4 linked regions of the Tamandua tetradactyla genome follow. The protein of the gene in region 1 interacts with the protein of each later gene in a biochemical or structural test. Links are inferred from orthologs where the notes say so. Each region holds a gene or a part of one and is shown in the gene's direction. Other genes may lie near its edges.

The links.
Region 2: of the proteins of KLHL12 (region 1) and SEC31A, one has a biochemical effect on the other in vitro, tested with the Homo sapiens proteins (3 studies listed by BioGRID, with this or other methods). The link is inferred for Tamandua tetradactyla from reciprocal best matches to the Homo sapiens genes KLHL12 and SEC31A.
Region 3: the proteins of KLHL12 (region 1) and FBXL17 form a complex in vitro, tested with the Homo sapiens proteins (3 studies listed by BioGRID, with this or other methods). The link is inferred for Tamandua tetradactyla from reciprocal best matches to the Homo sapiens genes KLHL12 and FBXL17.
Region 4: the proteins of KLHL12 (region 1) and LNPK form a complex in vitro, tested with the Homo sapiens proteins (2 studies listed by BioGRID, with this or other methods). The link is inferred for Tamandua tetradactyla from reciprocal best matches to the Homo sapiens genes KLHL12 and LNPK.

The regions. Positions count from the first base shown.
Region 1 is NC_135330.1:60,149,325-60,156,424, reverse strand, and holds the start of KLHL12 (kelch-like protein 12), read left to right. Parts: upstream 1-4,088; 5' UTR 4,089-4,159; coding exon 4,160-4,228; intron 4,229-4,567; exon of another isoform or gene 4,568-4,711; intron 4,712-6,155; exon of another isoform or gene 6,156-6,337; intron 6,338-7,100. Other genes in the region: ADIPOR1 (adiponectin receptor protein 1), read left to right, coding at 927-1,120, 1,455-1,583. UniProt on the Homo sapiens protein: Substrate-specific adapter of a BCR (BTB-CUL3-RBX1) E3 ubiquitin ligase complex that acts as a negative regulator of Wnt signaling pathway and ER-Golgi transport.
Region 2 is NC_135350.1:44,826,056-44,833,731, forward strand, and holds the start of SEC31A (protein transport protein Sec31A), read left to right. Parts: upstream 1-4,664; 5' UTR 4,665-4,814; intron 4,815-7,676. UniProt on the Homo sapiens protein: Component of the coat protein complex II (COPII) which promotes the formation of transport vesicles from the endoplasmic reticulum (ER).
Region 3 is NC_135347.1:22,018,301-22,025,959, forward strand, and holds the start of FBXL17 (F-box/LRR-repeat protein 17), read left to right. Parts: upstream 1-4,644; 5' UTR 4,645-4,743; coding exon 4,744-5,736; intron 5,737-7,659. UniProt on the Homo sapiens protein: Substrate-recognition component of the SCF(FBXL17) E3 ubiquitin ligase complex, a key component of a quality control pathway required to ensure functional dimerization of BTB domain-containing proteins (dimerization quality control, DQC).
Region 4 is NC_135329.1:148,211,343-148,218,613, reverse strand, and holds the start of LNPK (endoplasmic reticulum junction formation protein lunapark), read left to right. Parts: upstream 1-4,257; 5' UTR 4,258-4,464; intron 4,465-7,271. UniProt on the Homo sapiens protein: Endoplasmic reticulum (ER)-shaping membrane protein that plays a role in determining ER morphology. Involved in the stabilization of nascent three-way ER tubular junctions within the ER network.

The DNA.
Region 1 (7,100 bases):
AGTTGGTCCCTCAGCATTTCAGGACTTATCTGGTCCAGGGACCCATCTGGAGGCTATAGGTTTCTGGAAAGTTACAGTAGTACATAGAACCTTTGTAGAATCTTATATAATGCCCTAAGTATTCCATAGGATTGGCAGGAATGGTTTTGGTTAGGGGTTGGCAAGTTATGATTGTTGCAATGTCTAACTGAAGCTTATGTAAGAGTGACCTCCAGAGTAGCCTCTCAACTCTATTTTGAACTCTCTCAGCCACTGATACCTTATTTGTAACACTTCTTTTCCCCCTCTTAGTAAGGATGGCATTGTTGATGCCATGGTTTCAGGGCCAGATTCACCTCTGGGGGGTCATCTCCCATGCTGCCAGGGAGACTTTCACCCCTGGACGTCATGTCCCGAATAGGGGGGAGGGCAGTGGTTTCACTTGCGGAGTTGGGCTTAGAGAGAGAAAGAGAGGCCACATCTGAGCCACAAAAGAGGCCCTCCAAAGGCGATTCTTAGGTATAACTATAGGTAGGCTAAGCTTCTCTGCTATGTACAGCTTCTTATAGTTTTAATGGGAAACGTGTCTTATTCTTCTTTGGCTTGGGAGCCAGGTGATCTATTCAGCCAACTGAAGCCTTGAAATCTAGTTCTGTACCTGAGTCAGTCATGAAGGAGTTTCACATAATTCTTGCCTAGGCTCTTTAACAAATAATGAAGAACTTAAGGTGTTTGTTCTTGGTGTTCCTTAAAAGATAGCTATATAAGCACTTAGACATTTGGGCTGTGGAATAAATATCTGCTGTTATCCATCTGGCTAAATTTCCTAACTATTTACTGTTCACCAAAAAATAGCTAATTAATATAAACATTTTAGAATCTAGAGTAAGATAACAATGACTTCCACACAGTGGCTCTTTCATTGTTTTTATGTTTGCTTTGATCAGGAGTGTTCCTGGGACTTGGCTTGAGTGGTGTTGTGCCCACCATGCACTTTACTATCGCTGAGGGCTTTGTCAAGGCCACCACAGTGGGACAGATGGGCTGGTTCTTTCTCATGGCTGTGATGTACATCACTGGAGCTGGCCTTTATGCTGCTCGAATTCCTGAGCGCTTCTTTCCTGGAAAGTTTGACATATGGGTAAGAAATGACTCTTCCAGTAGGGACTATGATGGTGAGTGGCCAAAGTAAAGTTAAAGGTTGAGTAAAAAGGTGGTAATAGACTTAGGAATCTTGCACTGTTTGTGCATTACATATGTATATACACATAGAAAAAACTGTAAAAAAATAATATTTTGGTGTACTTTTGAGCAGGACTATTTTAAAAGTTTTCTATAATAAAGATATCACTTTTATGATGTAAAAAAATAATTTTGTTAAAGAAACCGAAAGAGGCAGATGTTTTCTCCCACTAGAATTTCTTCTCCTTTTTTGCCATTATACTAAAGGCTTTTCTTTTTTTTTATTCCTGCAGTTCCAGTCTCATCAGATTTTCCATGTCCTGGTGGTGGCAGCTGCCTTTGTACACTTCTATGGAGTCTCCAATCTTCAGGAATTCCGTTATGGCCTAGAAGGTGGCTGTACTGATGACTCCCTTCTCTGAGCCTTCCCACCAGAGGTGTGGCATAGGAACTTCCCAAGTGCTTTTAAAAATAACTTCTTTGCTGAAGTGAGAGGAAGAGTCTGAGTTGTCTGTTTCTAGAAGAAACCTCTTAGAGAATTCTTTACCATCAAAGCTTCAGCCCACTTTCACACTCACTGGGCAATAAACTTTCCATTTCCATTTCCCCTAGTTGGTGGGGAAGAGGATAGTCCAATTTATCCCTCCCCCTCCGTAAGGCAACTACCATTCCCTCAAAGAGACAGTACTTTGAAGCTCATGTTGAGATTTTACTCCCTCCTCAGACCATTTTGAGAAAAAATGATGAACTGGGACTCTTTAGAAATTCTGTTTCTGAAAGAAAATGTCCCTTCCTTACCCCAATCCTTATTTTGTAACCTGGCTTATGACAGGCCATCCATTTTTGTAGCAGACTTTTCAAAAACAATTATAACCTGGTCCCATCTTTTTAGGGCCTGAATCTGAGTATACAGCAGCAAGATCAAAGCCACCAACTTTTACATAGCCCGGCTAATCATGGAAGTATGTCCAGGCTTCAAATAACTTGAGTTTTAATTTTTTTTTTCTTGGCAGAGTAATGTAAAGTTAAAATGGGAAAAGATATTTAATATTTAATACTAAGCTTTAAAAAGAAACCTGCTATCATTGCTATGTATCTTGATGCACAGACTATGACGATAATAAAAGAAAAGTACAGAAGATACTTGGCATTCAAAGATTTAACATTTCAAGGTTTCAACTATTTGCATACTCCAGAGGTCTACGACATATAACAGTTTCAGATTCTGCTGAGGCATAAACTTGAATCATGAGCTCTGACAGACTGGTATATGTGGGCCAAGAAATAAGCCTAACTGAATTCCTAGCATTTGCTCCTCAATGCAGCTTATTTTTCTCTACCTATTGCAAGACATTTTATTGGGAAAATTAATATTCTATAATGGTATCAAATAATTAGAGGATTCTTAAAGATGTTGGGATCTCCTAAAATTATCAAAGGTGTACTATATATTATTTTAGAGTTAGTTTCTATTAACACTGCCTTGGTTAGGCTGTCTCATAAGGGGTCATTCAATGCCTTTCTGTGTCTTTGTGAATTATACTCAAGTTCTGCTCATAGATAAAGTGAGGCCTACAGTAATTACTTCTCAGCTAATATAGGGTGTTGAAGGAAAGTCTTCTTGGGTAATAAAGTTGGATTCACTTCAAGTTTGTACAACTCAGGGAGCAAGTGATGTTTTTAAAGAAATAATTCAACTAGGCAACGAACAAGAAGTTTCTCAACCTCAAGTGGTGATAGAGAAATGTAAAATACCACAATGATATTGCATTTCCCTACAATCAAATTGGCACAAATTAAAAGGCCTAAAATATTGAGTATTCACAAGGATGTGGAGCAGACCAAATGCTGCTGGTAAAAGTACACATTGGTGTCACCGCTTTGTGCAGATATGCATCAGTATATGCCTTGTGCTCATAAACAAAAAGTTCATTACAGCTGCTTGTAATAGCAAAATATTGCAAACAGCCCATGTCCAAAACTGTTAAATGGAAAAATAAATGTCGTTAAAGTTCACATAATGAAACACTAATAGTGAAAATGAATTACAGAGAAAGCAATGGTTGAATTCAGAAGTAAATTTGTGGAGGAAAGCAACTTACAGATGAATACATATGGTTGCATTTATATAAAGTTCAGAAATGTGCAAAACTAAAGATAGTTTAAGGATACAAGCAAATGGTAAAATCTTAAAAAGGGGAATGTTAATTCAGAATAATGGTTATGTCTGAAGGGTAAGGCACAGGGTGGGAGGAGAGGGACACACCATGTTTCAATGGTAAACTTTACATTCTTTTTCCAACTAGATGATGGGTACCTGGGTATTCATTGCACTGAATATTTCAAAGATACAAGTGTTTTATATCTATTTGATATTTAGTAGAAAACTTTTGTTAGCAAAAGTCACAAACTGGTTACTTGCAGGCCACAACTGTCTACAAACATGTTTTGTTTGCACAGTGGGAACAGTCGACTGAAGCTGAGTAGCAGCTATGTCCTCTAGAGAGGACTTGTGTAGTTCATTGTCCCTACCTAGCCTGCTTCACTCTTAGGAGTCATCTGCCTGGTTTCTGGAGTCATCTCTGAGTTTGCAACCACCAGTATATAACTGGAAGGAAAGTTTGGGAACACATCTGATACAACTCCATCCACTTCCTAGGTGAGGAAGTAATGAGGTCTGGAATATGTGCTGAAGCCTAGTGTATGCTTATTGTTTCAGCAATAAGGCCAGAGACGTGGATCTGAGAAATAACAAATATTTATTGAGCACCTCATTGTATCTAGTATTTAAATGAGGTAGGAACTTGATAGTGTCCTACTTTTAGGGGCCACAAATGCCTTCCAATTAATTGTCTTGGGGTAGAGGAAGCAAAGCAGAATCACTTCAGGAGAGATGAGTAGCCCCATTATGATGCAGAGAATGTGAAGGTTTGTGAATCGCAGAGCTCAGAGGTGTCTCACCACAGTGGAGGTCTGCCCGAAAAGGTCGTTGTGGAGAATGGACCTAAAGAAATTGGAATCTTCTGTGGGTTTTCTCGATGGGAGAGGGTTCCTAAATAGCTGGCAGGTAATACGTACTCCCTGGAATCAGAACCTTAATTTACAAATCCTTGGAATCCTCTAAATCTATTCTGCCTCGTGAGCCGTGGGGAGATGGGGCTCAGCCTCAGCCAATCACCTAGCTGGAGAGCAGTACGTCGCCCTGCGGGCCGGACCCGATTCAGCGCCACCTTTCTCGTTTCCTCTCTCCCTAAACGCACCGAAGCTGGGCATCTGGGTAGAAACTGGTCACGTGAAATGGCTGGTCACGTGACGCAGACCCCGAGGAGGGAGGGGGCCATCTTCCAGCTGCGTTACGTCATCACGTAGCGCGGCGGCGGTGAAGAGAGCGGCGACCAGCACGGTGACCGCTCCAGAGCCTCCGGGTTGGGGCGGCGGCGGTGGCGGCGGCGGTTCGGCCCCTCCTGAGCCGCCTGCTAGCCCCGCGCCCCACCCCACCCCCACGGGCGGGGGACGGGCCCGGCGCGGCTGGGTGGGCTCGGGAGTGGAGGTGAGTTGCACGGAATTGGAGGCAGTCAGCACGTTCCTTCTTACCTTTTAGCTCCCAGTATGGCCCTTCCCCCTTTCGTCGTCTCCCTCCGGGGAGGAATGGAAGGGACGCCTTGGGGAGCAGGAAGGCTGGGGGCATTTAGCAGCTGTATCCGTCCTCTCTACTGCGCCCCACGGCCCCCTCTAGTCCCTCCACCTCGTGGTGCCAGCCAAAATGCTAGTGTCAGAAGAAGGGAGCTCTTTTCCCTTCCCTTTTCTCCTACCTCGATTTTATTCCTAACAAAATTTGCCCCGGGTCCCCAATCTCCCATGGTTGAACCCCTCTATTCACATCTTAAGGGAAGCTCTGGAAACGGTCACTCAGAAAGTTGTGCGTGAGGGTTGTGGCTGAGACTTTGCTGGATGACAACTTGAAGGACAAGTAAGAAGACCTTGCTGCAATAGCGTTTCTGTCAGTTTTGACACTGACACTCTAAGTCTAGTTGTAGGCTGAGCCTGTGATAACCACCCAGAAAATCTTCACAGTAAATGGGCATTTGTTCAAATCCTTCTTAAGCCCTACAGTTGAACCTAAGTTGATTTTAGGAAAATCTTTTTGAAAAACATCATATGCTTCCACAAATCACTTCCTTTTCTGTAAAATGAGTATTGCAGAGAGTTGTTCTACAAGTATCTACAGTGCTTACAAAATAACATGCTACCTGTAGACAGAAGTAGATGAAAATTTGTGATAGCAATGAGGGGCTAACTTAAGTATGATTACACCTTGTTGACAAGAAAGCACTCCTTAAATTGATTTTTTATGTGTAATTTATTGAGTTCATTTCATTAACATATAAAATGAACTCTGAAGGTGACAAGCTACGGCAGTGCAGTTAGTGGTGTTCAGATAGGTTTTTAATCTAAATAAGGGTCTCTGAGTAAAGAAGAATTACTATAAATATTGATTTGTTAATGTTGATGGACGTTTACTAATAACATAGAGTAGGAAAATCCTTTTCTTGAAGGACTTCTGTTGCTTCATCAAGTAAAAGTCCATAGGCAGCTTGCATGGTTTCCCTTATGATATAGGCTCTGGGTCATCATTTGAATTTTATTTTGAGACCCAGATATATTTGGAGGTCATAAATCATTATTTACATTCCTCTTTAGAAAAAGATATTCACTGACTTTGACCTTTCTTGCTCTCGGTTAAACTCGCACTTTGTTTATTCTTACATTCAAGTAACTAACAGTTACTCTGTGCCTGCTGGGCTAGAAAGATATATAACATGGGATCCCCATTCACTAAGTACTTATCATCTACTGATGGGTATAAGTTTGTAATATTACTTTTAAAGAATTTATCATTTCATCATTTCAGACAACAACCTTATGAAAATATGTGGGAAATATACAGTTTCTATTGATGACAATAACTGTCAGGTGGTAGGGACACTCAGTATTAAGAAATCAGAGGAGGGCCAAGATGGTGGCTTAGCAATGTGTGCATTTTAGTTCGCCCTCCAGAACAACTACTAAATAACCAGAAACAATACAGAACAGCTCCTGGGACCACGTGAGTGACCAGACACACAGCGTACCCCAGTCTGGACCAGCTGGACCTGCTGCGAGCTTCCCCAGAATCGTGAGTTTCCCAAGCCGTGGCAGCTGGCGCCCCTCCCCCACAGGCTGCTTCCCACAGGAGAAAGGAAAGAGACTTAACCAGCAGCAGGGGCTGAGCCCAGCCAAACGCCAATTGTGACATTAATTAACAAATTCTGTCTACTGAAAGTAGGCTCCCAGCTCAGGTGAACCTGATCAAGGTGGAGGTCACTCATTTTTGCCCCAGCACCAAGGGGGCAGGGCTGATGGAAAAAGAAAGGGGATTTATTTATTTATTTTTCTTCATGGGCAGGCACCGGGAATCGAACCCGGGTCCTCGGGCATGGCAGGCAAGCACTGTTACCTGCTGAGCCACTGTGGCCTGCCCAGAAACAGGTTTTTGTGGCTATGTTTCTACAAAGGCTGACTGCCTTTGGATACAGTGGCAGGGCTTCTCAGTCTGCAACTGCTCCAGGCATAGGCAGAAACAAGCTCGTTTGAGGGCTTGTCTGGAGCCTGTGCCTTCCCCAGGAGAGGGGTGAAGCCCAACTCAGGTGGAATCCCTCCCTCAAGGAATTCAGGCACCAGGGCTTGGTAATTTGAAGCCATTAAAACCAGCCTACAACCTCTACTCTGTCTCCACCATGCCCCCAGCAGGGAGAGTCTGCCAAAGTTAAAGGTACTGCATCATCTTATGTTGGTGGGACCAGCAGGCAGACAAGCAGCACATACTGGGCAGGATAAGAAAAACAGAGCCCAGAGACTTCACAGAAAAGTCTTTCAACCTGCTGGGTCTCACCCTCAAG
Region 2 (7,676 bases), on another chromosome or scaffold:
GCCTTTCTGGTTGAGAGAGAAACCTGAACTTCATCGGCCTTTCTTACGTGAAGGTAACCTCTTGCTGGTGTGTAAATTTGGGTATTTGTATAGATTTGCTTTAATTGGGACACTGTCACAGCCTTAGAACTATAAACTTTTTCAACTTAATAAATTCTCCCCCTTAAAAAGACCATTCTGTTTCTGGTATGTCACATTCCGGCAACTAGCAAACTAACGTACATAATAAATTAGAAGTTTTGTATTTCTTATTGTTACAGAATTGAAATCATTTCTAGAATGCACATTTACTGTATATTTTTTAAAGGGATAAGCAATGAAAACTTTGACTAGAGTTTAATTTCAGAAAAGAACACAGTACAAGTGTCCAGTGATTAAACTTTTCCCACTGCTGTTCACATCATGATTTGTTGTGATTAATATATGTGGATGAGGACATGATGGAAAAAAAAAGTTATTTTATATGATATGGTTTTGGTACATTGATTTGCCTGTTTGCATGTTTTCCCTTTTAGGAATAAAATTGAAAGGTGTTTTTTTAGAAAACTATCATTTGTCAGATTTATTTGACCAAGAATTAGAAGATTTATTTAATAAGGTAAGGAGTTTATAAATTATTCTTAGTTTTTTTTTAAGAGAAATTTGAGTTTACAGGAAAATTTATTAGTTTTGATAAAATAGTGAAGGGTATATCTGACCAAAACATGAGTATAATGTGGATATTGTGCATGGGTTTTGAAATTTTTTTCCCTAATCTGTTTCAAAGACAGTATAAATATGATTTAGAGATATGTTAATCTAAATCAATAGATTAAATTTCAAATAGGCAATGGAGATGAGGGGACACTTTTCTTATAAATAATGATATCATCTTTTCAGCTCCTGAAGCTTTTAGAGATCATATGTTCCAGGATTTAGATTTGCTGAACTATTGGTTATTCCATAAATAATTCTTGGGTATCCCTGTGGATCAGCATTCTGTAACTTAAGCTTTGTTCAAGAACTGTAGATAGAGTTGGTAGGAAGCTGATAATTAATCACAAATCTAATTCTGATTCTGTCATTGATTAGATGTGTTATCTTAGGTTGTTTCTCAAATTTGAGGAATCTCTATACCATGTCAAAAAGGAGAAATATTCTTGTGAATACTCACTGTTGACTTAAGCTAATTTCCTATTTCTAAAATTTACACGAGCACAAAAGTTGGCATAAATTCTTGTTCATAGCCCTTAATCAAAAGATTTTAAAAATAAATTATTAATAGGAGCAATGCTGCTGATTTTTGTGTGGAAATGTAAACATGGTACTGATTGCTATGGAACAAATTGTTTACGCATAGCTATCTGTACCTTGTGATGATTTTGTCTAGAACTTTACTCTTTGCAGATCTTTCTTAAGCTGCTGAGAAAGCTCAAGATTTTTTAAATGAAATGTGGGGTGGGGACTAAATTCTTAAATAATACGTCTTTGAACTATCTACAAATCCTATTTGAAGAATTCTGGATTATCTCCAAACATTCTTTTGGCTCCAGTGAGTAATTCAGGGTCTTAGAACTAACATTCCAAGGAGAATGCTTCAGTTTGATTTGATCAAGGAGTAGACTTGGCTAGCAAATAATTATATTGGATTAAAACTTGATAATTTTGCGAACTCTAATAGAGGTTTTTCTTTTCCGATATAGGTAGTCCTTGCTTTGCACAGTTCCAATATGCATGAACATCAGTTGCTACAGTTAAGTTAAATAACACCAGTCTGCCAAAAACGCAAAGTATCAGTTATCACCAGTTCTATGAATAGTTGCATAAAGTACAACTCTTTTTTTTTGCTGCTAGCTCTCTTGTCCATAAATCATTATGCAAATAACAAATGTGCATCATGAATCAAAGTCCGCTTTGGTCACTGAGCATCTGTTATCCAGTTCATGTACAAACACAAAAGTGTGTAGCCTCATTGTTTCCCAGTGATAAACACATATGACATTTTACAAAAGTGGATAAAGAAAGAGGGAATTGAAGAAATACAAAGTAATAATGCTGGAAGTGAAATTGTATGTGATTAGAAGATTTGAAAATGGTAACAGCAAAGCCAAGATAGGAAGAGATCTAGGCCTGCATGAAGCTATGATATGAACCATATTGAAAAAAACAAGGTAAAGTAACCTTAACATCTTCTAGCATAAATTGCACTAGGAACAGGAAGCCTCTCGATTGAAATGGAGCGTTTACTTCAATTTTGGATTGAAGACTGTAGTAAATAAAAAAACAAATCCCAATCAGTCTGACTAGCATTCAGATCAAAGCATTGAAGTTAGTTGCTACGTTGAAAGAAAATGTTTTATTACAAGGAGACTGAGAAAGAACATTTTACTGTCAGTAGAGGCTGGTTTCATTGTTTCAGAAGTCAGCATGAATTGATTAGTATTAAATTATCTGGTGAAGCTGTTTAGATAAAGATGCTGTGATGAAGTTTACCTCCAGATTCCAAGAATTACATTAGTCCTTGCTTTACACAGTAGTGCAGGGTGGTACTACAGGAATTTTTGCAGGATTCAAATAGTAATGGAAATGGAGTTACAGAAGATACAGCTGACTGGGAATGTTGACACTGCTGCTGTTGAAGAGACTTGAGATATGCAGCCAGAGGAACTTAATGAAGGTGACTTATCGACATAAATGAGGAAAGTGGTTGTGATGAAAAGGATGAAGGTGTCTCAGAGGAAGTGTTTCTGGCAAGAAGCTTCATATTAAAGGAACTCTTGATGACATTGAAAGTGCAAGGGATAAAATTTTGGATGCTCATCCAAACTTAGGAGTATGACTGTTTGCCATGTCATAGAAAAAAAGATGGTAGCTCCATATCATAAGTTATGTGATGAGAAAGAAAGCACTGTTAAAAAAAAATAAATTTTAATTCTTAATGTTTCTAATGTTTTAAATTTTGTATACTAAATAAGTATTTTTACTATTTTTTACATTGATAAGTTGCAAAATAATGTTTTGACAAATTTTTAAAGGTCAAAAGTAATCATAAATTTAGATTCAGCTTGTATAGTCAAAACTAGGACTGACTGCACTTAAAACAATCCAGAGGCTTCATATTTAATCACATATAAATATGCACACCTAAATTTATCCTTGCAGTAATGAGTAAATTGGCATCTACTTTTTTAATTCCGTCTACCCAATTTATTTTAACCTTTGTTCTTCATATTTTTTACTCATCTGCCCATACCCGAGACAAAAGGAGCATCAGACACAAGGTTTCCACAATCGCAGTCACATTGCAAAAGCCATATCATTACACTATCTACTTTTCATACTGCCTTTGTGCACACAAAAATAAGAATTTGTAATACTGATTATTTGAACTTGAAGTATTAACCTTTTACCCTATCGTAGAGTAGGAGTTGACAAACTGAAGCCTCATATAGTAAATACTTTATTCCACCTTGCAACTGCTCAGCTCTGTCATAGCAGAAAAGCAGCTACAACGATATGTAAGCTATTGAATGTGGCTGTGCACCAATAAAAGTGGATGCATAAATTTGAAATTTGTCTACTATTCATGTCCCCAAATAAAAGTCACTGACCCCTACCCCTAAGGAAATGGAGGAGGGGTAGGGGTATAGTTTGCTACCTCCTGCAATAGAAACATGCAATTGGGCTGAATGTATTAGATGGTAGATTATTTGGGTAAAGTTCTAATAAGCCCTGCCTCCAGATAAAAGCAGGTGGTCTGAAATAGGACAGTGACAAGTAGAAGGCCTTTTAGAACACCCTAGAAATTACCCGGTGTAGGTTGTTGATCTATTTCTAAAACTTGAAGGGTACATTACCTGTAAGAGGGTGTCGGGAAGCGTGCATTAAAAGTTCAAAATGTTCCTACCCTTTAGCACTTAGTGTTTCTCATATTTTACTTATCTGTACAAAAAAAAGAAACGTTACATCTGGTAACAACTACTATAAAACGCTTTAGGAAAGTTGGTTTTTAATTGAAATGTAATGGGGAAAAAGCTGGTTGAATTAAGGCGGTTGGATTTAGATGCTGTTTCAGCAAGTCGTCATCCTGTGGTTTGCTTCATTGTAAAATAATTGCTCCTAAACTATATCAGAAAAAAAGGAATACAACGCACCTAATTAGATGGCAGGCTTTAGCAAAAGCCAGGAAAATACTAGTGGCCAAGGGCGAGATCTTAAATGATACCAATTGGAATATCCCCTCACCCAATCTGCCTCGGTGGAATAACAAATCTGCTACCATTTCAGGCCCCCTTACGTACTTAGACAATTGGAGAAAGTAAACTTATGTTCACAACAACTTTCGGTTATAACCAAATAAACAAGTAATAAACTACAGATACTCAAATTGCCCTTGAATCCTCATTTTCAGGTCTGCTGAGTATTAAGGGCACCTCAGGATTAGTGCTCCGTGACGTTCTTGGGAAGCCGTGGCCATTCTCCGGCATAAAGCAAACCCCAGCAAGATCTTCCTTTCTCGTAGCCCTGGCCCTCACATGGACAACCTGTGAGCAACCCCACAGAGGCAAATCCCTTCCCTCTAGGGCGCTGGAGGCGGCTGAATGGACTCAGGTTACCCAGCCGGTAGCTCCTCCCGGAAGTGCTGTGGCAGGCCGGCGCCAAAGGGGCGTGGCGTCGGTGCCGGAAGTGTCGGCCGGACGGGCGGGGCTGCGGGTGCCACGTTGGAGCGGAACGTGGAAGTGTCCCCAGCCGGGAGCGGGGGTGGTGGCGAATTCAGCGAGAGTCCTACGAGCGCTACGCTAACGCAGGAGCCGGTGGCTGAGGGTCTCCGCTAGGTGAGTCCTCTCCTTTCTCTCTTCGCCGGTCCCCCGACCTCAGGGTTGGGTTCGAGCCCAAAGCTAGGTCACCGGCCTCAGTCATCGCCGGCGCCTTCCGCCCTTGAGGCCCGGTCTCTGGCGGCGCGCCCCTGGTCTTCGTTTCGGCCCGGCCCGGCCCGACCTGACAACTCCTGGCGTCCGAGCTGCTTCGGGGATCACGCTCTTCACATCCGTTGATGTTTCCACAGCGGACCCGGAGCTCCGAGGCTCACGACGAGATGTCCTGCCGAGGAGCCCAGCCGGGCGATTAGTGGGGTCTGAGGTTAGGAGACCTTCGGAGCCTGTGCACAAAGAAGTACAACCCTCGAGAGCTGGGGAAAGAAACAAACCTCGAGATTACTTTACTAGTCTTCAGTTTGCTAAGGATTTTTTGTTTATATTTGAGCTATTGCCGACTTAAAGGCCCGTACATTTGAACTGAAGGATAATGTCGGTTAACCAGATTGGATCATTTTAAGGGCAATAGTCGTCAGTCGCAGCCTGTATTATATTTCGAAGGAAGTCTTACGAAGTATTTCATGTTTTTGCTAGTAAGTTGTTATAGTAAGAATTTAAATCCCGCACTGGTTGTAAAAAAATCAAAACATTGCGTTATTAACTTTTGTTGTGAGCTCAAGGAACTAATTTTACTTGGGTCTGCTGTGATGTTCTGTGTCAAAATCGTCCTATTAAACCACCTTTTCTAAGATAAAACAGAAATTTAGTTGTCTTTATTCAGTAATTGTAACAGTATGTAGTTGACAATTAGAGGCTCATTTTTATATTTTATATGTTCTTCTACGTTTTCTGTATATACCGATTATTCTAGAGCTGGCCAAAGCAGACACCTTTTTTAGGTGGTTCTTGTAGGCTGTTTTCCATCATCTCATAGTTACAGCTTTGAAAAACTTTTGTAGACTAAGAACTTTTAAAAAAATTTTTTGCATGGACAGGCACCGGGAACGAACCCAGGCCTCCAGCATGGCAGGCCAGAACTCTGCCACTGAGCCACTGTTGGCCGCCCTAGACTGAGAATTTTTTGATAACTTGAAGTGTTTCTGTAGTTGTTAATTTCTGTTACGTACGACCCCAGTTATTTGGGAAACAGGAGATTTGAGATGGATTTAGAATTATACTGCTTAATTTTATATAAGCAGGTTCTTTTCTGAAACTAATAATGTAGGAATAGAAGGAAATTTATAAACTATAAAGAGCAGTGATTCTTGATCTTTTGGGAATCCACTCCCTTTTGAGAATATGATGAAAGTGTTTGATCATCTTCCTAGAAGAATGAATGTACATGTGCACATAACGATTTCCTGAGTAATTTCATGGGGTTCAGAATTTTTAAGTTAAAAATCCTCATAAAGTGATATTATTAAATTGATTTAAAATTTTTTCAGAAATGTCCTTCTTAGGTAGGCTAATTTCTTAGATAGCTCAAAAAGCTTTATTTATTGTAGACTGCAGTAATTATGACTCCATTTAGCTCCGTGACCAATATCCAGTTGGTTCTTCTTTCATTTGGTTTTAGATGAGTTGGATGGGTGCCTAGAGTATTGGTACTAGTAAATAAATCCTTTAGAATAAGTGCTCTCATTCATAATGAGATATTCTGCTCCAGGATGGATTTTTAGGACTCAAAAATTCTGATTTTCTTACCTCTTACTTTAAGCAGTATAGTTCTGCTCTATAGATAGCATTGAAGGCTGGAATTTTTTTTCAAAGAATACTTGTGTTGGGTTTTAGGATTGCTTCGCAAAATTAGCATTTTGAAGATGAGCAGAAAGAAAAATTTCATTGCATGCAGTTATTGTGGAGAGAAGCTTGGATGAAAAATAAGTGTTCTAGTCTGGAACATAAATATTTTTCAACAGATGTATTTTTCAGGATTCATTCAGATAGACATTTTAAATTGCTGCTTTTGTAATAGCTGACATTTATGAACATTTATTTACTATAGGCCAGGCACTGTTCTAAGCACTCTTTGTGTTCTACCTTGTTTAATTCTTACAGCTTGCTGTTGATGTCCTTATTTTACTGATGGGGGAGCCAAGAAACAAAGTTACATCCCAAAGTCAAAGTTAGGAAGTGGTGGGAAGAGCTGGGATTTTAACTGAGGGTGTCTGGCTCCAGCTGATGCTTTTAACTGCTGTGCTGGATAGACTGTCTTGTAGATGGTTTATGGGAACAAACTACTATCCTCACAGTTTTTAAAAAATATTTTCATACTGATTATATTCTGTTTAAAATATTCTGGAATGAAACTCTTTTGCATGGCATGAATTTTTATCATATATAATTTTGAAAGAAAAATCACTAAAAGCTTTTAAAGTAAATCTCACTTGAGAAGTACATGATTTAATTGAAACCTTCATATTTTCAAAGAAGTTACAACTAAAGATAATTATCTTTTTAAAAGAAGGAAATATGCATCCAGGTGAAGCTGTATTTCCATAGCATTCCTAGTAGTTTGAGAATGATTATACTAAGTGGATTATGCTACATTTGTTTCATTGTATTCAGACCACATAAGATCTGACCATTGGTCTAAGCCATTGTTATAGTGATAAATATTTTTTTAAAAGATGGCATTGCAGCCTTTTGTTCAGAGTAGGTTAATAAGTGGCACCACTTCTGATGGAACTTTGAGTACTAAAGCCAAAAATTAAACTTTTCTAAAAGCTTTGAATTCCCTCTTAACCATTTTATGTTCTTGTCAATTTGTCTCTTTTTCTTTCAGTAAATGTTACATGTTAACTAAGTATTCATGGATTAGGTAGTCCTTGTTGTACCTTTTCTCTTAGAGAAACTGTTAATGTATTTAGTTGTTTTATATAT
Region 3 (7,659 bases), on another chromosome or scaffold:
TCATTAGCTCTTTCTCAAAAAGTAGTGCAAGTGATTTTTTAATATATTAAGAAAGTAGTTTCTGAGCTTACCCCTTTAGCCAGAACTTTAATTGGAGTGTTAACAAATATAGTTCAGAGTATACCGGATGCAGCTGAATGGAAGTTTTTGCAGTACATAGAAAAGAAAAAGAAATTTAAAATAGAACCAGAAAAGTACAATAGTAGTATTTCTTATTGGAGAGTGAATTCCACAATGGCTTTTTTATACCTTGATTTAAATAATTAGGAGGTACTTGTTACCAAATTTGTAAAATTATTCCATTATTCACTGGTAGCAGAACATATGTTTTCTCCCGTATAATTTAGTATATAGGAAAATAATGTATTTTGCAAGTATTGTACCTTAACTATGTTTGTTACATCCCCCCAAATACATTATTCAAAATCTGGATCCTATTTATGGAATCTTCAATGAAATCCAAAAAAATAATATGAATAAATGCTCAGGACACACACTCACAAACACACATACACAGTCATATAGATCACATTTCCATCTTAAGTGAATTTTTATTAAGTAGGTAATACATGTAATACAGAGTAGAATTCATTTCAGGGGAAGATTCTTCAGACTTTTAAAAATCACTATTAGTATTTAGCAATTTATTATATAAAGGGGTTCCCAATATATCATCTTACTGTTCTTTAAATACTTTTTTTTTATGAAAAGGGACTTAAGAAGTAACCATGAACCATCCAAATTACTTATAATGGTCCAATCTGAGTAACATTTAATTTTAGGGAACACTATCTACTCTTAACTTTAGAATTATTTAAAATTTGTTGGCATTTAATAAATACCTTTTTGGAAGCCACATTTCATTAGAAATGTAATTTTTCCAAAGTTTCTGGCCATATACTCTCTTTTCTTCAAATAACTAGGTCTGAAAGCAATGAAAACCTGAAAAAAATAATGTTTTCCCTACGGCATTAGTTCTTAAGTTTTAGAATGTGGATTACTTAGGAAGTTTATTTAAAATGCACATTCACTGGGCCCACGTCAGAAGTCTACTGTGCCTTTGGACCTTATTTTGAGAAACACTTCTGTGGAGTTTCTCTTTTCTTTTTCTTGTGGCTAATATTAAGAAGAATATTTATGATAAAACACTTTGAGGATGGGTAAGCAGTGAGTTACTTATTCATAATTTTAAACATATTTTGAATGACTTCTTCAAGTGAGTTTTCTTCTAAAAGTATATCCATCAGTTGTATACCAATTGTTCTGGTTTGCTAGCTGCCAGAATGTGATATGCCAGAAATGGAACAGCTTTTAAAGACGGAATTTAGTAAGTTGCAAGTTTATAGTTCTAAGGCCATGAAAATGTCCCAATTAAAGCAAGTCCATAAAAATGTCCAAATTAAGGTACCAACAAGAGGTTACCTTCACTCAAAGGCTGATAAAGTTCAGGGTTTCTCTCTCAACTAGAAAGACACATGGCTAACATGGTGAGGTCAGCTAGATTTCTCTCCAGGCTTCTTGTTTCATAAAGCTTGTCCAGGGGTGTTTTCTTTTTTTATCTCCAAAGGTCTCTGGCTGCATGGGCTCTAGTTGTTCTCCTGGCTCTGTTGTGGCTCTCTTCCTCTCTCCAAAATGCTTCCTCTTTTAAAGGATTCCAGTAAACTGATCAAGACACATCTCCCTCCAATCAAAGGTTAGTAGCCACAATTGGATGTGTCACATGCCCACAGAGATACTCTCATCAAGTTTCCAACCTACAGTGCTGAATAGGGATTAAAAGAAAAGGTTGTCTCCACAAAATGGATTAGGATTAAAACATGGCTTTTCTAGAGTATATGGCTTTCAAACTGGCACACCAGTAATGTTATAAATGATGAGAATTTTTCCATGATGAGGTTTTAACAGTTATTCAGGGTGGTTTCTTGTTCTATCTTTTTTTAACTAACAAGAGTTAATGTGTATTTTATATAGAAATGCATTACAGATGTTTTGTGTTCTGCTTTTGCAATTTTTAAATGCCATACCGATCCTTTTTATATTTTATTATAGAAGTTTTCTCAAAATACTCACAAGGGGAATAAGGTGGTAGGCAGTGAGAATGGCTAGAATTTTGATGTTCTAAGAAAAAATTTATTTTGCATAAGCATGATATTTGTGGTCAGATCATTTTATATATATGTAGCCTGAATTGGATACCAGGTATTGTCCAGTACTAGTACATTTGCTTTTTAATTTTTTTTTTTTGTCATGTAGACTACTGCCTTTGTCATCATATTGAAACATGTATTTCTGTAGTTCAGTGTCTTCCTCCAACTTCATGCGGTTGTTGGCAGAATTCAGAAATCACTGGCCATCAGTGGGGACTATTTTTATCTCCTAGAGGTTACCTGCCATTTCCTGCCTGGTGACTCTCTCTGCAACATAGGAGTTTCCTTCTTGGAAGCCAACAAGAAAGTATATCTGCTGCTGCTTTGAATTTCTCTGAGATCTCCCTGGCTCTGACTTCTAGATTTTCTTTCAAAGACTCACCTGATTAGGTCAGGCCCAATCATGGGAATGATGTCCCATCATATTCATAGATCTTTCCCAGGCTTATGGGTGGTGGATTATGTAGGATGGGTGTATCTGAAGTGAGAATCTTGACAGTCATTTTAGAATTCTGCCTGCTACAATGGTAGACATTTCATTAACTTATTTTATAAAGTTTATGAAACATATTTTTCATTATTAAAATAATACATAGCGACTATAGGCATTTATAAAACATACTAGAGAGTTAAAATGAAACATAAATTTGTACCACCATATCAACAACACCACACTTAAGTGGTTTTCCCTTTTTTTTCCCCCATGAAAAGGCTTGGAATCCCCCACCCCCACCCGTCCCCTTTGTTTAGCCTGGTAGAGATGGCAAAGTCCTCAGGCAGGGGGACTGCCCCACATTTCTTTCCACCTATCACCCCCTTGTGGAGTTTGGGACACTGGAAGGCTGCCCCTACAGGCAGAAAGGGGCGGTTAAGGGGGTAGATTCCTGAGTGTGACAGACCTAAAATAAAAGTCATTCATGACAGAGACTGGTATTAGCAAAGGTTTGATGGGATGTTTTTAAAACCCCTGCGACTTGTCTTTCATCCTTCAACAGGTAACCGGCTCCACTTAAAGGGAAATTGAAACCATCCGAAAGGAATACTTGCAACTTCCGTGCCACAAACTTCCAAACATCGGTATTCTTTATCTATCCTTTCCTCATTCCCTCCAATCACAATGAGGAAGGTACCCCTCCTAAAGCATTCCAGATTCCATCTTCTCAGGGAATTTACTGTTTTTTTCTTTTCATCCCCTTATTCCTTCCTTATACTGGCTCATTCCCATCCCATACTTAAGCATCCTCAAATTTCTTCCTTGTGAAAGCTAACCACCCTCCAACGCCATGTACCACTGTTTTTTATTCTCTGCTCTCATTATAGTCAAATCTTCTAAAGGGTTGTTTGTCTGCAAACTCTTATTACTTCTTTCTCACCCAGGTCACCAAGTACTGCCTGGGGCAGTGTGTCCTATAGTAGGCACTGCACAATCATTTTTTAAAGTATATGATGGATGGATGTACAGGATTCTGAGGGTACAGACAATAAATTCATGTATGGCTTCATATATAGTAGACTGGGATGCTGTTTGACTTACTGAGTTGAGAAATTATCTTCCTATTGTGATGTCTTTGATATACGACTTCATTTTGAAATAAAGTTATGGAAAGTCAGCATTATGCCACAAGCAACAAGTATGAAAACAAGTGGGGAAACAATGGTGCCGCATAACCAATCCGTTCCCACATAAGGACATGGGACCGCATCACCCAAGGGCCGCGCGTCCCCCACCCCATCCGAGGGGTAGCCCGAGCCCAGTCTGTGCCTAGATCGGCCCTTCCGGCTGGACTCCTGTTTACAGCACTTGGCCTCGGTCTCGGAGTGCAGGGGAGAGCCGAGCGGCTCTTGGCCAATGGCAGCTCTTGAACTTACACCTCTAGACGTCAGCGCGGCAGTGTAAACGGATGTCACACAGCTGGCTCGGAAGCGTCTCCTCCCGCTCCAGAAAAGGGGGCGGGGGCGCAACGGCCTCCACGAAACCTTGGGCTCCGGAAGGGAATAAGGCGCGCTGCACCCCGCGAGCCCCAAGCCCTAGCGGGCCAGCATCCTCTCTGCAGTCCCCCGCCTGGCGGTAGTCCCGGGTGAGCTGCCTGAAGCCCGCGTCCCCGCCTCCAGCGCGCCGCCGCGGCCGACTCCGCCCCCTTTCAGCGCGGGCCGCGCGCTCCCGCAGAGCCCAGCCGCGTCGCGAGTGCGCGCACTGCCGGCGGAGCCGCAGTTAAAATGGTCCGAAGGGGACCCGGCGCTCCCCCGGCCACGGCGCTGACTGACTGAGCCGGCAGGCCGGGCCCGGACTCGGACTGGTCGCATAGCCGGCAGGCTTTCTCCTTCTCTCGCGTCCCCAAAGCTCTCTCCCGTCGTTTTCCCGGCTTTTCTGGGCAAAGCATGTAGCCCCCGTCGGGCACCCAGGCAGCTCGCAGCCGACGCCCACCCCCCACCGTCGCGTGTGTGCCTGTGTGTGCGTGTGTGCGTGTGCGCAGAGCGGGCGACCCCGCCGCGGGCCCGGGGCCGAGCCAGCGAGCGGCCTGTCCCGCCGCCGGGAGCCCGCCTCTCTGGGCCTCCCTCCGTCCCCGTCCCTATCCCCGTCCTCGGGGCCTTCTATATGGGCCACCTTCTCTCGAAGGAGCCGCGTAACCGCCCAAGCCAGAAGAGGCCTCGCTGTTGCAGCTGGTGCCGCCGCCGCCGCCCTCTCCTCAGGCTGCCCCGCCGGTCCCCGGCCAAGGCGCCCCCTCAGCCGGCGGCGCCCCAGAGCCGGGACTGCTTTTTCCGCGGGCCCTGCATGCTCTGCTTCATCGTGCACAGTCCCGGCGCGCCCGCCCCCGCCGGCCCAGAGGAGGAGCCGCCGCTCTCGCCGCCGCCGCCGCCGAGAGACGGGGCCTACGCCGCCGCCTCCTCGCAGCACCTGGCGAGGCGCTACGCGGCCCTGGCCGCCGAGGACTGCGCGGCCGCTGCCTGTCGCTTCCTGCTCTCTTCCGCCGCCGCCGCTGCCGCCGCCGCCGCTTCGGCCTCTTCGCCCGCCTCTTGTTGCAAAGAGCTGGGGCTGGCCGCGGCCGCCGCCTGGGAGCAACAGGGCCGGAGCCTCTTCCTGGCCAGCGTGGGGCCTGTGCGCTTCCTGGGGCCGCCTGCCGCCGTGCACCTCTTCCGGGGGCCGTCGCCGCCGCCGCCCGAGCCCACCACATCTCCAGAGATGGTGTGCAAGCGGAAAGGGGCAGGGGTCCCTGCTTGCACCCCCTGCAAGCAGCCCCGCTGTGGCGGCGGGGGCTGCGGTGGCGGTGGCGGCGGAGGAGGGCCTGCGGGGGGAGGAGCCTCGCCGCCGCGGCCCCCCGACGCCGGCTGCTGCCAGAGCCCGGAGCAGCCCCCGCAGCAGCTCTGTCCCCCGCCTTCCTCTCCCACTTCGGAAGGTGCCTCCATAGAGGCCGGCGGGGACGCTGTCCGAGCTGGGGGCGCCGCCCCCTCGCCCGCCCAGCAACAGCAGCAGCATGAAGGCGGCGACGCGGACGGTCCGGAGTCCCGCGAAAACCCCTGCGACTGTTACCGGGAGCCGCCCCCCGAAATCCCAGACATTAACCAGCTGCCGCCATCCATTCTGCTCAAGGTGGGTGTGGGCCGCAAGGATGCTCGCTTCCCCAACTCCGGCCCCCGCCTCCAAGGTTTCTTCTCTCCTCCCCCTAAGCACGGGGGAGGGGGCTGCCCTGAGAGCCAGGGACATCCGATTGGGAATTCAGTAGGGAAGATGCTTACCGTCTGTTTTTTGAACTAGAAAAATGTGGAGTCTGCTGACTGTTATAACTTCCATCTATTACCCACAGTTTAAGGTTCGTCTCTTTTTAGATTCCAAGCCCAGTGGTTTAGAAACTATTTGTAGGCTTTTGTGAAATATTTTATCAATTGAGCAATTTATACTTACTGGATAGTGATTTTGTCTATTAGTATTTGAAAGCCTTCGAACGATACTTTTAGATTTAATAGCTGCTGGTTGAAATAACAGTTAACTTGTACTGAGCACTTACTATGATCAGGCACTGTGCCAGAAGCTTTGTATACATAATATCTCATTTAATTCTTCATATAACCCTGTGAAATAAATATTGTTAACGTCTTCATTTTATTCAAGAAGAAACTGGCATTTAAGTGCTATGGGCCAGACTTAACAGTAGTGAGGCAGGCAGAAGTGGTCTTTGCTCCGATGATGTTTACACTCTAGTGGGGCATGAAGACATTGAATGACTTGTACAGGGTCACACCCACAAAGTAAGGGGCGCATCTGGGTCTGGAACTAGGGAATTTAGGCCTGCCTGCCCTAAAAAACCCTGTTCTTCATTCTGTGTTGTATTGCATTACTTCTGTTTAATCCCTACATTAGAGCATACAGGTTCCTACAAAGTAAGGGCAAATGTATTTTTTTGTTGGGGATGGGTGTGTGGAGAAGAGATGGTTGTTGTGTGGTAGCTTTGCAGCACTTTCAACTAAGTGAATTTTGCAATTTTGTCAATGTTAGTGACAAAGTTATGAGATAGAATTTGTATGAAGTTATGATTAACTTAAGTTCTTTTGTCTCATTTTTTGCCTGCTGTCGCTCCTTCCTCTTCTCCCTTTCTGGAGCTTAAGAAACATAAGCCTCCCTTTTTCACTGTGGATAATACTTAAGGTTAGCCATAAATAACCTTGTTAAGAATTTGACTACTTTTAGTGATACTCAAGGTCACCAGTCACCAGTATACCTTCTTTGATTAGTCTTTTTTGCATATTTATAATTCCGTATGTTTGGATCTGTTCTACTGTGAACAGTAGAATTAGTCTTCTTGTGAAAATACAGCAAAAGTGAGGGGAACATGACAGCACTTCTGGAGGTATATTGAAGAGTAATTGCTTGTCATGTGGTGTGGGAAGGGGATGGATTTTAGGGCAGAGGGAACTTTCCTGATACCTCTAGATCATTGATAAATTTGGCACGAGGTTTAATTGCTGTCTTTTTATTTGGCTAAGTAAGACTGCTAAAAAACAAACCAAAACAAAAACGAGGCACTTTTTATTTAAATTATTTCATGCGGTAGAGAACATTTTAATTTTATTCCCCCCATAATCTTGCAATGTAGTAAAACCCTATAATAAATTTATTCTATCTGCTTCATTCTTCTTTTTCACATTTTTGCTGTAGACTGCTGAAAACTTGGCCTGAGGATCTTTTGACAATTACTTGCCCTTTTATGTTGGAGTATTTGGACATGTTAAGTAGATTTCCATTTCTTGTAATAGAAACTGACATAAAGATTCTCTAACAGATCTTGTGGTCCTTGTAGCATTCAGCATGAAGTGAGTGGGACAGCCTGGAATGAATTGAAATCAAGATTCTTTCCAAGTAGGATTTTGGGGGACAAGGCTTTTGGGGCAGAAGGCTGTATGCCTTGCTTTCTACTGTATTCCCTCCCCAAGTGCAGTACTCAGCATATGGTAGCACTCAATAAATATTAATGGGAAATGAATGGCCGAGTCTTGAGGGAGTCTGACCTAAGTGTAT
Region 4 (7,271 bases), on another chromosome or scaffold:
CCTATCAGCTTCTCTGGTCCCCAAAGGTCACCAACTTCTATTTACTCTTTGGGTCACCTCCTTGGCAGTCTTCCCTGATTTCTTCTCCCTGCCTCTTCCTCTCAGTGATCCCCTCATGCTCCTGGCAGTGGCTTGAATTTGGGTCACTAGAGAAGGCAAAGGTTGGGTTAGCTGGGGATCTGTAGAACCTAGCACACAGTAGAGGCTCAATAAATATTTATTGACTGAAGGAATGAATAAAAGACAGGACAGAGGAGAGGTGATTTGGAAAGGCCAAAGGCACCTGGAGGCCCAGGGCTGCTGCTGGGAGGGAAGGCAAGAGTGAGGCCAAGAAGGTATATAGGTTCTCTCTAGTGGAAGGAGAGGGGAGGGAGGGGGGGAGGGAGGGAGAAAAGTCCAGGGCCATGAAACAGCTTTCCTTAACTACCACCCTTTGTAGGAAGCCCAGAGGCAGGGGTGGGCCTCACAGGCAGTGATGAGGACTCAGGTCTGTTTGTGGGTGGTCCTGGCTGGAGATGTATAGTGCTGTGTGGGGGTTAAAGGGGTTGGTGGTGGAGGGCACTGCCTGGACCAGCGTCTCCCCACATTACTCCTCAGGAGTCCAGAACTTTCTTCAGCTCCCAGATCCACCAAGAAAAAAAACCCCCATAAGAAATGGAGCTGAGATTGGACAGTCCACACTGGCAAACAGAGTGTTCACAGGAGAGAGAATGGGGTGGGGGATGGGGTGGGAGGACAGACATGGCTGCTAGGAATTGCTAGGAATCTGATCAGATTTTGAGGCAGATAAAAGAGCCCTAGGCATGCACGGTGTGGGCTGGAGGGACCTAGACCAGGAGAGGCCCTGAGAACCATGAGAGGATAGGGTGGATGATGATGGTGGCAGCCTGAAGGCCCAGCAGGTCCAAGGCAAAGGCAGAGGTGGGCCATGAGTAGGCATACGATTTGGATCTCAGACTCAGGAGACCCAAGACCAGCTCCAAAATAGGAAAGGAGCTACAACCTGAAAATGTGGCCTCAGGGTCAGGGGTCTCCAGGGCAGGTGGGGGTGGCTCCTAGGAGGAGGTGAGGGGTGGGAGGGCAGATATGGCTGACCATGTCACCTACAGGCCTCTGGACCTCTGGGTGCTATGGTGAGATCTTGCTGACTCAGGTTATTTCCCCTCTCTTCAAGATGCCCCCTCCTTTCCCACCATCACTCTCCCTACCCCTACCCCCATGTGAGATGCCATATAGTCTCCTGGTTTAAATTCCTGCTTTATTGCTCATTGATGTTGTCACCGCAGGTTATTTGCTTGTCTTCAGTTTCTTCATCAGTAAAATGGGGATAGTAATAGTACTACTTCAGTGGACAGTTGTGAAGATTAAATTAATATATACATACTATATATTACGTTTGGGTTTGAAATTAGAGTAAGTTCAATGTGTTAGCTGTAGCTTCCTTCAATTAGAAAGGAGTGGCAAGTCTGGGGACCTATCCTGGGCCTTGCTTCTTGTCTGGGGACCTATCCTTGGCCTTGCTTCTTCCCTGGGCCACCCTTACCCCCCTTTACCCACTGCTCACCGAACTAGAGAGGCTGAGGCCAGTCCACTGAAAAGTGGGCTCTGGTGTCTGAGCCTTACTTAACCCAGGCCTGAGGCTGAGGGAGAACGGGAGGATCCCCTGCCCCACTGGTGGCTGGGCAGTGTTAGGCCTGGGTTGGGGAGAGTGGGAGGCCCTAGGTGCAGCCTGTGCTGCTTCCCAGAAAGTAAAAGAAAGGAGCATACCTTATCTTGAACACTCACTACATGCCAGGTACCATACCAGAAACAGGGAAAATGAAGAAAAGATGAGAGAAAGGAATGTTCTCTTACTCCATTTAACTCTCACAATGATCATAAGAGTTGCCTACCTGACTTATGCATTATTATTCTTTTCTTTTGTAACTGAGAAAACTGAAGCTCAAAGTGGTTAAGCAACTTGCCCAAGGTCACACAGCTAAAACATCCAGAGCCAAAATTAGTGTCCAGAAAGTTTGTTCCTAGGTTCCAGCGCTGGGCCCTGTCTCACTCTTCCACCAGGGAACAGAAACCCTGTTAATCCTTTAGGCTTCCAACTGGCAAAGCTTATTGTGGGTGTCACCCGAGAACTGAGAAAATCGCATGGTCAGGGAGCCAAGCCTCAATGACTGCATTCTGCCTCCCAGACCAACAGTTGTCACACATTCCAGTCTCTAAAATGAAAACATGAGGATACTGGGTTCTTTTGGCTGGAACTCAAAGTAATTAATCTCTCTGCACCTCAGTTTTCTCATCTGTAAAACGGGTATCTTAAAAGAAAAAACTTGTTTCATTGGTTTGCTGTGACGCTTGCCTGAGATAATGTACACACAGGCTTTTGAATTTTGCCTGGAACGCAGGCAGCTTTCAGTAAGGGGCAGCCATTGTAGTTATTGCTCCTGTCATCCCTGGGGCGTGGAGGCCGGTGGACTGGAGGTCTGGCTTGTGCATTTTCAAGGGTATGAGCTCCTCAACCTGTTGCCAGTCTGAGCCTCCTCGGAAAATTCACCCGTAGGACTGGGGAATCGCAGGTCTCCGGATGCGCGGACCTGGCCGGGTGTCCGGGCTTAGCGTCTGCCCTCACCGGTCTTCAGTTGCCCTTTCCTCTAGGCATCGCATCAAGCGGAGTGATCAATGTCCTTTAAAGCTCGGTGGTCCGAGGAACCCAGGCTGGGCGGGCCGGGCTGGGCTCAAAAGAGAGGTGCCCACCCCTCCTGGAAGTATCGAAGAACCTGCAGAGGCGGAGCCTTGAGGGCCTGCCCTCTGCGCTGCCTAACGTCAGTAGCTGTTCTGGACCGAGTCAGGGGTGGGGAGAGTCGAGAGCGTGACGGAATAGTTGACCTAGGGAGCTGGGGCCACTGCCTGTACCGGCGAGTGCAGCCTTCAGCTCCTGGACACTTCTGTTGAAACTTCAATTTCCTCGCATGGAAAAGGTGACCTTTTAATCCTCCCTCCTTCGGAGACTACCGAAAGCCTCCAAGTAGACCAGCTCCTCTATCTTTGTAGGTCCTTGGCGCTCAGCACCGGGATTGAACCCAGATGAATTCTGCATTGGAAACTTTCGCACTTTGCAAACTGAAAAGTGGCTATCGCCACTTGCGGTTCCGGAATCCCTGAGGCTTATTTGGTGGGTTACAGATCCCACTCCTGTCCTCTGCTTTCGGTTCCCGGCATGATGCCGAGATTTACCCAGCGCGCGCAGGGGTCTGCGCGGGGCGTCTGGGGGTAGAGAGCAGAGCGGCTGGGGGTGGGGGTGGGGAAGGAATGGAGGTTCAGACCCTCAGGGACTGAGGCGCTCTACTTAACTGCCCCACCCCCCACACACTGGAGCCTGCCAGGAAGGATGCGGAGCCCGGCCCCGCCATGAGGGTTGCACAGTTCCGCAGGGGCAGCGGCCGGGTGCGCACAGCTGTTCGATGCGTGTACTCTCCCAGCCGGATCGCGCCTGCCTCGCTGCTACCGCGTAGGCCCCAAAGGGCAACGAGACCGCGTGGATCCTGGCGCCAAGAAAAGCCGCGGGTGCTGGCCTCCCAGACTAGTAGAGGGTCCGGCACCGGCGAAAACCACCGTTTATCACACAACTCTCCCTGAGCGTTAGTGACTTGTAAGGCCAGAGGATCCCGCCCCCCAGGGAAAGAAAGGAAAATAAACACCGTTCTGGGTTCTATGGTCAACTCTAGGCTCACGGTCACTTTCGATTCCGTCTTCCCCCATCTCTCACTCTTCCTTTTTTATTTTTTTAAACAAAAGAAAACAAAAACATACTCGCTTCTACCGGTGAACCCGGGGAATGTTACATTGGCGTCCGCGATCGCAGTCACGATGGCGAGGCTTATTGCCTTTGGCTTTGGGCCTTGGGCCTCGGGAGATCTCGGACTTTCCGCCTTTCACAGTTTCTGGGTTGGGTCTGTGGCCACGGAGGGCAGGAGAACCTGGACTCGGCCAGACGCGTCGAGTGGGGTCATGGCCTCGGCAGCCGCCGGCGCGTCGCAGAAAAGGAGCGCAGAGGCCGGCCGCGCCTGCAGTGCTTTCCCCGCTGTGGACGCGCCAGCCTTCGGACCTGCAGGCCTGCTTTCTGCGAACAGGAGTCAGGGGCTGGAAAAGCTTTCCCCGGCCGCCAGGAAGCTCCTGGACGTGGGACACGTTAACAGGCGGCTTGTACAATCGCGTATTTGTGAGCGCACACTCAGACTTGAACCCCGCCCACACCCGGACGCACACCACCTGCCAGGACGCGCGCGCCACGGGGAACCCCTTTCTTTCCGGCACCTCAGGGCATCATCCTGCCGGGAGGGAAAACCGAGGCCAGGAAACTGGGGTAGCTGTTTCCACTTCCGGAGATTTCCCGAAAACGTGTCCGGACGTGGCTCTCAGAAAATGGGATCCCCGCTTTTCAAAGGGCTGCGACCCTGGAAGGGCTTTTCTGTAAGTTTCATGGGCTTAATTAGAGGCTTGTTTCCCCAGGGTCGGCTTGGGCTTTGCGCAGCCTGAGTGACTTCAACTGCTGCGGGCGGGCAGATGTGCGCCACACGTGCCCTCAGCTGCGTGGGCAAGGTTTGGAAAAAGTTGGGACCATAGTGACGTTCAGATTTTCTATCAAGCTGCATTTCCGAAGTTGGTCCAGAAAGAAGGACTTATATTATTAAAAGCCAAAGACTCTGTGAGGGCCTGCCTCTCGGGCGTGCACTCCCACTTCCCCTCTCCATCTCCTCCCTAGGCTTCGGGTGTGCCCCACCGTTAGTGATTGAATTGAGATTCTTGTACCAAGTCCAGGCCAACACTAAGGAGCACTCTAGTGAAATAGGTGGGCCTGAGAGTGGTGGTAGGAGGGGGTTCCCCTGCCTAAGTCTTCAGCTTTCACCTCCACCTTTATCACTTACTTACTGTGAGATCTTGGCCGAGTTACTTAACCTTTCTGAACTTCAGCGTTTTCTCCTATTAATAGTAGGATAAATAACAGTACTAAACAAACTGTTAGTACTGATTGTAAGGATTTTAATGTGCCTTGCTGGTAAGAGACTCTCATTTCTTGTTATGTACCAGTGGGAGTAAACTTAAGATTCTCTTTCCTACATTCATACATGCATAGGAGAGGAGGCATGTGTGGAGGGTGAGGGGGCAGTGGACTCAAGATCACTGAATTTGAATGTTGTAGAGCAGTGGGTGGTCACAGATAGTTCAAGGGATTTAAAAATGCCAGGAAGGTTTTGGAAAAATAATTTGAGAAGAAATCCGTTTCACTTTCACAATCCAAGGTCCCAGGTTTGCGCCTTTTTGCTTCCTGCCTGGTGTGAAAAACTTGCCTTTTTTTTAAAAATTAAGGCAACGTTAATGAACCCACCTTCCATAAACCCATTCCAAAGGACAAAGAAAAGCAATGAACAAATTTCCCTTTGCACATGGACCAGTGAAAATAATGCAGGTTTAGAAGCAAGAGGCTCAGTAATGTATCTTCTGGTCTCTGCCACTCTGTAAGGGCAAATCGACTAACCTCTCTGATTCTTGATATCTTCTGTAAAATGAGGATGGTGATAATGCCTCCTTTAAGGCATCTTTGTGAACAATATCTTCACTTAACAAATCCCCAATTTGTCCAACAAAATAGAATGTGTCATCTCTAGTTAATTTTGTAAAATCTATGAAGCTATTCTTTGGGTTGTATTTTCTACCTTTTTAAAAATATGAACCAATCAATTATATTAGCCGTTCGACTTGATCATGACAGCTAATTTCCATTTCATAATGTAATTGTTGTTTAAATACTGGTGATTTACTAGTCAAGGTGCTCAGAAATGTTATCTCTAGTCTATCTCCTTTAAATGATGATTGAAATAACTATAAAAACTCAAAGTCATTAGGCTATTAGTTTTCATGTTTTTAGATTCTGTGACTCCTCAGCATAAATATCTACAGGGAAAATCTACTTGCTCTGTGGGCTTGGAGCTCAGAACAGCAGGTTTGTTTTCTTTGCCAGGCATAGGCTTTCGACAACAAGAATTCGATGTAATGGGAGGGGGCTCACAGGGCTACTCAGTAGTTGCAGACACGAGTGTTGGCTGAGAAGGCTGTGCAGTTGTACTTTTTCATTTTTTAGATAATTGATAGAACTTCATTTTTTAAAAATTTGCAACATACAGAAAAGTTGAAAGAAAAATATGATGAACACCCATATACCTTTCACCTGGATTCATCAAATGAAACGCTTTCTCATATTGGTTTCCTCTTTCTCTCTTTTTTTAACCGACCCAGTTGAAAGTACATTAATCTTCAACTCTAGATCCTTTATCATATATCTCCTAAGATTAAGGATAACTCCTGCAAATCACAATACCACTACCTTACCCAATTTGATGTTTCTATTCTCATTTTTTTATATTAGAGAAGTTTCAGTTTACAAAACAATCATGCATAATGTACAGGATTCCTGTACGTCACCCCACCACCAACACCTTGCATAGGTTGGAACATTTGTTACTATTAATGATAGCACTTTTTAAAAAATATATTCTATTTTCTAGCAATAGTTACTTTTGTTATAATTTATGAAAGATTATTAAAATTGTTCTATTTATAATCCATTATTTACATTAGCTATATTTTCTCCATATACCACTCTATTATTACTACCGTATATTAGTTTCATACATTTGTTATAACCCGCTAAAGAATATTCTTGTACTATTAACTACAGTCCATCGTCTGCAATAGTGCCCACTGTGCTATACAGCTTTATGTTTTATCTTTTAATTTTTACTCTAGTAATATCCACATCTAAAGATTCCTCTTTTAACCACATTCACCTATATAGTTCAGTGCTGTTGCTCACACTCACAATAATGTGCTACCATCATTACCATCCATTTCCACACCCTACCATCAACCTTAATAAAAATTCTGTACAAGCTAAGTATCAACTCCCGGTTCTCTAACCCCAGTCTATCCCCTGGTCACCTTATTCTAGATTCTAACTCTATGAGCTGACTTATAATTAGTTCATAATAGTGAGATCATATAATATTTGTCCTTTTGTGTCTCCCTTATTTCTCTCAACATGATGTCCTCAAAGTTCATCCATGGTGTTGCCTGTATCAGGAATTCATTCCTCCTTACAGCTGAAAAATATTCCATTGTATGTATATACCACACTTGATTATCCATTCGTAGGTTGTGGTTACACTTTATTGCAAACAAAATATGTTACCTGTGATGATTAGGTTCTGGTGTCAACTTGG